Caenorhabditis elegans: one gene and its partner. The protein of the gene in region 1 interacts with the protein of each later gene in a pairwise test. Each region holds a gene or a part of one and is shown in the gene's direction. Other genes may lie near its edges.

What was found.
Region 2: the proteins of mab-21 (region 1) and sin-3 interact in a two-hybrid assay, tested with the Caenorhabditis elegans proteins (one study listed by BioGRID).

What each region holds. Positions count from the first base shown.
Region 1 is NC_003281.10:4,598,789-4,602,546, forward strand, and holds the start of mab-21 (Protein male abnormal 21), read left to right. Parts: upstream 1-1,948; 5' UTR 1,949-2,031; coding exon 2,032-2,064; intron 2,065-2,107; coding exon 2,108-2,272; intron 2,273-2,316; coding exon 2,317-2,558; intron 2,559-2,604; coding exon 2,605-3,083; intron 3,084-3,758. Other genes in the region: sel-2 (Putative neurobeachin homolog), read right to left, coding at 1-112, 159-233, 290-407. UniProt on the Caenorhabditis elegans protein: Acts in a cell autonomous fashion to specify the properties of the sensory ray and non-autonomously in the choice of hypodermal versus neuroblast cell fate.
Region 2 is NC_003279.8:8,414,687-8,418,444, forward strand, and holds the start of sin-3 (Paired amphipathic helix protein sin-3), read left to right. Parts: upstream 1-2,144; 5' UTR 2,145-2,145; coding exon 2,146-2,820; intron 2,821-3,208; coding exon 3,209-3,495; intron 3,496-3,758. Other genes in the region: F02E9.7 (Tartrate-resistant acid phosphatase type 5), read left to right, coding at 1-134, 195-544, 821-968, 1,015-1,136, 1,181-1,400. UniProt on the Caenorhabditis elegans protein: Probable transcriptional repressor required for the deposition of dimethylated 'Lys-9' of histone H3 (H3K9me2) on asynapsed chromosome pairs (both autosomes and sex chromosomes) during meiosis, but this does not seem to solely affect the transcriptional status.

The sequences.
Region 1 (3,758 bases):
AAATTCGAGATTTCACGTTTTTGCCATTTAGCACACATATCCGAATGTTTGAAGAGTTGGCGTGGTGTCATAAGTGAAGTTTTTCGAGATTGTGGAAGTCCATATTTGACTCCTGAAAGTGGGTAAATTGCACATGAAAAGCTTCTAGAGACACTTACCAACTCCAACTCTTGGCAATTGATAAACTACTTTCTTTACAGCATCTTCTGAATCAAAAGCAAACATGATGGCAGCTGAAAATGGAAAAAAAAATTAATGAAAATTTGAATATATTGAGCTGAAAACAAACTTCTTGACGCAAGGAATAATTCCAACGCAGTGTTCTGAAGAAGATATCGTCGAAGGAAAATTGCTCGAATTTCTTGAAGATTCCACCTGGCATGTAGAGCTTCACAATATCGAAGAACCTGAAAATACAATATATTTCAATCTAGCTACCGTAATCCTTTTTCGGGTTTTCAACATCACTTTCCCCTGACCCACTGGCTCCTAATATCCGATTTCACTCGCTTTTCCTTCCCATTAATAACAATAATGTAATAATGATTGAGCTCCCGGATGAGTGCCCGGTCACTTACGAACACAGATAATTATGATGTGGGGAGGTGGCTGGTAGCATGAATGGACCGATTATGGATGGTAAACGGGAGAAAAAGGATAGAGGAAATAGAGGATAAACGATTTGGGTGATTCAGTGAAATCCGGTGACATATGGGGGTGAAAATTGAGATTACTATTGGTCTGTTAGAATTATTTTTCGTGTCATATTTGACACCTCCTTAATTAAAAAAAACTTTATTTTCTGCAGTTATCCTTCTATTAAAATTTTCCACCAAGAAAGTATTAACTTATTTTTCGACACCAATGATATAGTATTTTAAATTTTTTTCTATTTTATTAAGAAATCCTTGAAAGTTTACGAAGTACGGTAGTAGGAAACAATAAAAACAGAACGTTATTGTTCACCATAGCCCGACATCTACTGGGTTCCGCACCCAGCTTTGGTCATGGGGACCCTGTAGATGTCGGACCACAATAAAGAGGAAGACCACCTGGAAAAAAGCCTTAAAAAGCCTTCATACTTTATCTCTAATTTTATTCACTATTCTGAACCCATCGTTCTACACATTTGCAATAGTCGAAACTACTCCATCTCTTGCACAGAAGCAAATCTCCTTTTCATCTGTACGGTGCAATCTTATCACATAGTAACAATCTATATCTCTTCCGGTATGCAAACTTTGACAGCTTACGTAATCAGTGTGATGCGTGTAGGATGTGCACTGTCAAAAGGTCACTAGGGACCCATTTGGAGGACCCTATAGGTTTGTTGTATAAGATCGATTTGAAAAAAAATTGTTGAACAATTCTCGAAGACAAGTGCACTGCTCCAAAGACACGGTAGACACCAGAAGAATTGGTCGATGAGGTTATTCAAAATTTATAATAACCAACGGTATACATTGAATATTAAAAGGATATATAACCTAAATTCTCACACATTTAGATTGCCCAGAATATAATTTTCTAGTCCTTCCAGAAAATATCGAAATGTACCTTTTTTCTTGGCTCCCATCTCGATTTCACTAGACACCACCGCCATCATAATATCATCTATCATTTATCAATATTCTCATCATCATCTTCAGGGTCGTAGCCCGGTAATAAGGTGGGCCTTCAGGAGGTGATGATAAGACGCGTGTGATATGAGAAAGAGGGGAACCAAAAGATACAGAGCGGGTAATGATTGACACACCTTGTTATCTTTATCTCTCTATTTTATATACTCTCCGTGTTCAGTGGGTCTTTGTGGTGGGCGCCAGGTTCCCAGGTTGAAACAATCTCTGTACATCCCTACTCTCCTTCTCTCTCCGTCTCCACTATCTCCATCTACACCTAGGCTCCGCCCACTTTTTGCCTGAGGACTCCTCTTTCTTCGTAGCTGCCCATCATCTTCATCATCATCGAAAAAAGAACACACACACGCATATCTGTTTGTGTGCATTTTTTCCCGGTTTCCGCTTGTCCAACATGCTAGGACATAACCAGAACGTTGTTTATCAGGTGAGTATGCTTCATCTTTTCGATAATCTTTATTTTGGTTTAGGTGAATAACTATTTCAACGAAAAAGTTCAACATCGTAAAGTTCGTGTCACAAAAACAGTACAAAGAATCGCCAAAGTGGTACAAGAAATATTGAAAGAAGTTGAAGCACAAGAACCTCGATTCATTAATACATTAAGTGAAACTACAACTGGAAGATTCGATGGAGTAAGTTTTGATTCTTCTGTCAATGTAATAAATTTCATTTTTAGATTGTGGTACATTCTCCATCCGAGTATGAGGCAGTGCTATACCTCAACCAGATGGGTGTCTTCAATTTTGTTGACGACGGAACAATTCAAGGATGTGCAGTTCTCAAACTAAGTGATGGTCGGAAAAGATCAATGTCCCTTTGGGTCGAGTTCATTACTGCTTCTGGATATTTATCAGCTCGCAAGATTCGCCACCGATTCCAAAATATTGTGGCTCAAGTTTTACAAACTCCACAATTCAGGTATTCAAATTTACTTTTCTACATTCTGAAAATATTTTAATTGCAGTGATTACTGTAAGTTGCTACAAGATAACACTGATGTGAGAGTTCGAGTAGATGACAAGTACACCGTTCAAATTACTTGTGCATTTCGATGCAACGGAATCTGGCCTCGATCAGCGAGTCATTGGCCAATTGCAGGACTTCCATGGCCGAACGCCGCGTTGGCGAATCAGACAAAAGCCGAGGGATTCGACTTGACGAGTCGTGAAACTGCAATCACTCAACAAAATAATCCGAATAAGCAAGCGAGCAGTATGGAAGCCGATGCCTGGGCAATGAAGATGCATGGTGCAGAGAACATGTTACTAACTGGAGGTCGGCGGAAGACATTGAGCATTCTGAAATGTCTTCGAGATGCTCACATGGACTTTCCGGGAACACCAGTAACAAACTACATACTGAAGACATTGGTATTGTACGAATGTGAGAAGCACTGTAGTGAATACGAATGGGAAGATCCAAATATCGGAGATCGCCTTGTCGGTGGGTATATTTATTCAAAATTTCTTTCTCCATAATTTGTTCAAAAATTGTGTGACCATTCGCCAAGAAAATAGAAGAAAAAACGCCATCGCGTGTCACAAGAAGAACGATGTCGTCGTCTTCTTGAGCTTTTTCATTTTTTTTCTTCTAGGTGCTCTATACTCTCTTTCTCTCATCACTTTTCCCTTCTATTTTAGTGCCATGGCATGCATTCCTAATGCATTCTTTCGGAAAAAATGCGTGCACGTACAAGTACAACACATAGAAAGGAATATAGATGCAAGAAAATAATTTTGTTCAGGAAAACTATTAAATTGAATTAATATATTTTTCTTCAACTTTCTAATCAACTATTGGCGTGAAATCTATCGGAAAAAAATGAGGTAGAGAGATAGAGTGTAGAACTTCTGAAGAGATCCGAGACAAATGTGTCGTTTCGAATAAGGTTTTGAAACGGTGATGGGACAAACCGATTGACAGTTGGAATGAAAAAAAGAAGAAGAGAAAACAATGAATAGGTTTTGAAACCAAATCTAAGAATATAGATGAAGATGGAAACTGTAGAATACTAGGTAATTCGAATTATATTAACTTGTAGGTTTTGCGGAGTTTAGAAAAGAAGCATAATGTTTAAACTAGATCTTCAATGTAATTTCCCACAAGTACTGTATCTCA
Region 2 (3,758 bases), on another chromosome or scaffold:
CGACTTGGGCACAAAATGAAGTCAAACAGACAATGGCATCATTAGCAGATGAACATAGTGTTCAAATGATATTAAATATGGGTGATAACATATATTTTACGGGACCCACTGATGAATTTGATCCAAGATTCGAGGTTTGTACTTTTTTTTAACCCAAAATTTTAGTAAATCCCTCTAAATTTAAAATATTTCAGTCACGTTTCGAAAATGTCTACACGAATCCGAGTCTACAAGTTCCATGGCTCACAATAGCCGGAAATCATGATCATTTTGGAAATGTGACCGCCGAGATTGAATATACAAAACATAGTAAAAAGTGGTATTTTCCATCACTTTACTATAAGAAATCAGTAGAATTCAATGGTACTTCTATCGATTTTTTAATGATTGATACAATTTCCTTATGTGGAAATACAAAGGATATTCAAAATGCTGGTTTTATTGAAATGTTACGTAATGAATCACATGATCCACGTGGTCCTGTTAATATAACTGCCGCTGAAGAACAATGGGCATGGTTGGAGAATAACTTAGAAGCAAGCAGGTTAGGAATTTTGGATTTTTTCAAAAAATGACCTCGCCACGACCTTTTTGTAAAATAAAAACAGGTATGCACCTTTAAAGTACTGTAATTTTTAACTCTTGTTGCGGAATTTTCATCTATTTTTAAATTGTTATATTCAAGATTAAAAAAAAAGGCGCACATTTTTGCATTCAACAAAATTTAGTCGTGCCGAGACCGTGCATCTTATGCCTGGCCCAGAAATCGGAAGATTTCGCTTCTGGGTAATGGAAATTTATTTTAAAAATCCTCTTTCAGTGCCCAATACCTAATAATTTCTGGTCATTATCCTGTTCATTCTATGTCATCACATGGTCCAACTGACTGTTTACGTCAACGTTTGGATCCACTTTTAAAACGATTTAATGTGAATGCTTACTTCTCAGGACACGACCATTCGTTGCAGGTTTACCTTAGTAATTTTAATTCAAATTACTTTATAAATGTTTCAGCATTTCACTTTTCCCGGGTATGGAGAGCATATAATTAACTATGTTGTGTCTGGAGCAGCTTCTCGAGCAGATGCATCAACGAAGCATATTAAAGAATTCAGTAGGGATACGTTGAAGTTCAAGTGAAGATTGAAAGCATTAAAAAGTAATTTCAACAAACTTTCAGTTATCCGGAAAAATCATGGTTCTCGTGGTCACCAGTTTCGCAGCTCGGATTCCGTAAAGGCGGCTTAATATATGCAGAATTTGGACATTACAATGCTCGACTCGATTTCTTTGACAAAAGAGGAAAACAGCTTTATTCGACGATCATCCCCACACGTGTGATCCCGACGGATACATCGACACGATCAACTGCCTCACCGTTTGTAGAAATAGGAATGTAATTAATTATTTAAGCAGTTGAAATTCAATTTTTTGAATATTTATTGAACTCCCTCATAATTTCATGTATAATATATCTTGAACGGGTTGAAAATAAAAATTTTATTTATTTGTTGGGCTCTAAATTGTAATATTTAAATTATTTTTTGAGCTCCGCCACCTTTTTAAAGGTTATTCAGCGTACTTCGTTAAATTATATTTCCGGAAAATAAATTCTCTGCGTCTCTTAAGCTGTATGCAAACGCGCTCTGAAAGGCAAAAGCGAGAGAGGAGAGGCAGCAGAGAAACGAGCGCCATTTTCAATACTTCACAGGATTTACGAACAAAATGTTCTTTTTTTTGTTAAAATTTCAAAGTGTAACGTTTTTTAATCATACAAACATTTACTAACAATATTCCTATCGAATTTGAAAACTTTGTAACATTAGAAAAACAAAAATTCTACTGTTTCGTAACAATGTCTCATTTTAATCAAAGACTAAAGTTTTCTCAACATTTGAAAAAGAATTTAAGTAAATTTTCTTTCGATTTTTCAGCTATATACGGTTTTCAAACTTTAAGTTCAATAATACAAAATCAAATGATTGATTTTTAAAAAAATTGAAACTGAACGTTCAGCTTGAAACAGCGTTGGAAATTTAAGGATGTGCTAAAAAAGCAAATCAATAAAGAAACTTATTTTTGTCTCTTTTCTCTATTTTCTAAAACTTCTCACTAAAGGTAACTTTCCAAAGTTAGATTTTCAGAATGTACAATCCACCACCTGGAGGCGGCGGTGGCAACAATGGAGGAGATCAATCTCAACAACAACCTACAAATAATGCGACGTTGTTTTTATTACAAATGATTCAACAATCACAACATCAACAACAGCATCAGAATCAACAACAACAACAACTGGAACTTCAAATACGTGATCAAGAGCGTATTTTGATAGAACAACAAAGAATGCAACATCAACAACAACAAAATCAACTTCTTCAAGGACTCAATCAATTTCCATTTAATCCTTTAGGATTATTTCAAGTACAAGCTGCTGTTCAAGCAGCTCAGGCACAATTTGCACAAAATGCTCAAGGTTCTCCAATTCCTTTTCATATCGGTTCTCCACTTCAACCATCACATTCACCAGCAGCTTCTGCTCTTCAGCAACAATATCTACTACCATCTCATTCACCGGCAATAACCCCATTTGCTAGAAATAGTGAAGCTGCAAGAAATATTGAACAATTTATTGCACAGGAAGAGGCTGCAAATGTACCAAGGGCCAACAGTCAACAACAATCTCCATTGATTCGTCCGATTCCACAGCAACAAGCTTTGAATATTCAAAATCTCACATCGACTCAACAGGCACAACAAATCCTGGCCCATCATCGTCAGGTTCCCGTTCAACAAGTACAGCATCAGCAGCATATTCCCGTAAATATTTATTTGATTGAAAATTAAAAAATGTCTGAAAATTGGAAGGTCTGAACCTTTCTTTATAGAAAATTATATTTTAAAAAGTTAGAAAGTACTGTAGCGCCAAACAATTTGTCCTTCATTTCTGCTTTCCCGAAATTCGCAAACCTAATATTTCTCAATTGAGCTCAAAAAATAACAGAATTACTTTTGTTTTTCAGCATTTCGTAAGTTTTTTGAAGAAAATGTGTAAAAATTTGAAGTTTAAGACTGTTTTCAAATATTAGATGATGATATTTTATCAATGAAATGCATGTCTGAACTAAAAAAATTTATAGCAATTGACAATTTTATATTTACGTCAATTTAACAATTCATTCCGAAAACCAATAAATCTATTTTTCAGACTCCTCCACTAGCCCTTCCAATTGCTCAACAAGGACCAATTTCTAATGAAGTTCCTTCAGTTCCTCCAGTTGTTCCAGCAACTTCTGCAGGGTGTCCTCAACGTGAGCCTCGTCAACAACAAGGTGGCCGACGACAAAATCGTCCAGGTCGTCGAAAGAAACCAGAAGGTCCACCACGTGTTGATGAAGCTCTCGCCTATCTGAGAGTTATTAAAAGTACTTTCTCATCTGATGTACCCGTTTATCATCGATTTTTGGAAATTATGAAGGATTTTCGTGCTCAGAGGTAATTCTGAAAATTTGAATTTTATTTTTGAAGGTTGAAAATCAAAAAAAATTGTTTTGGTTTTTCCGGGAAAACAAATATTCTTAGATTTACAAAAAACTTTAAAAAAACATTTGTTTTGTTCAAACATAAGATAACATAATTTACTTGAAAAGGCAAAAAATTTCAAGCTATCTTCCGAAATATCGTAAAACCGACACATTTGATGCGGATTAAATTTTGCTTTATTTAAATCCAAAAAAAAAAACAAATATCTGTCTTTT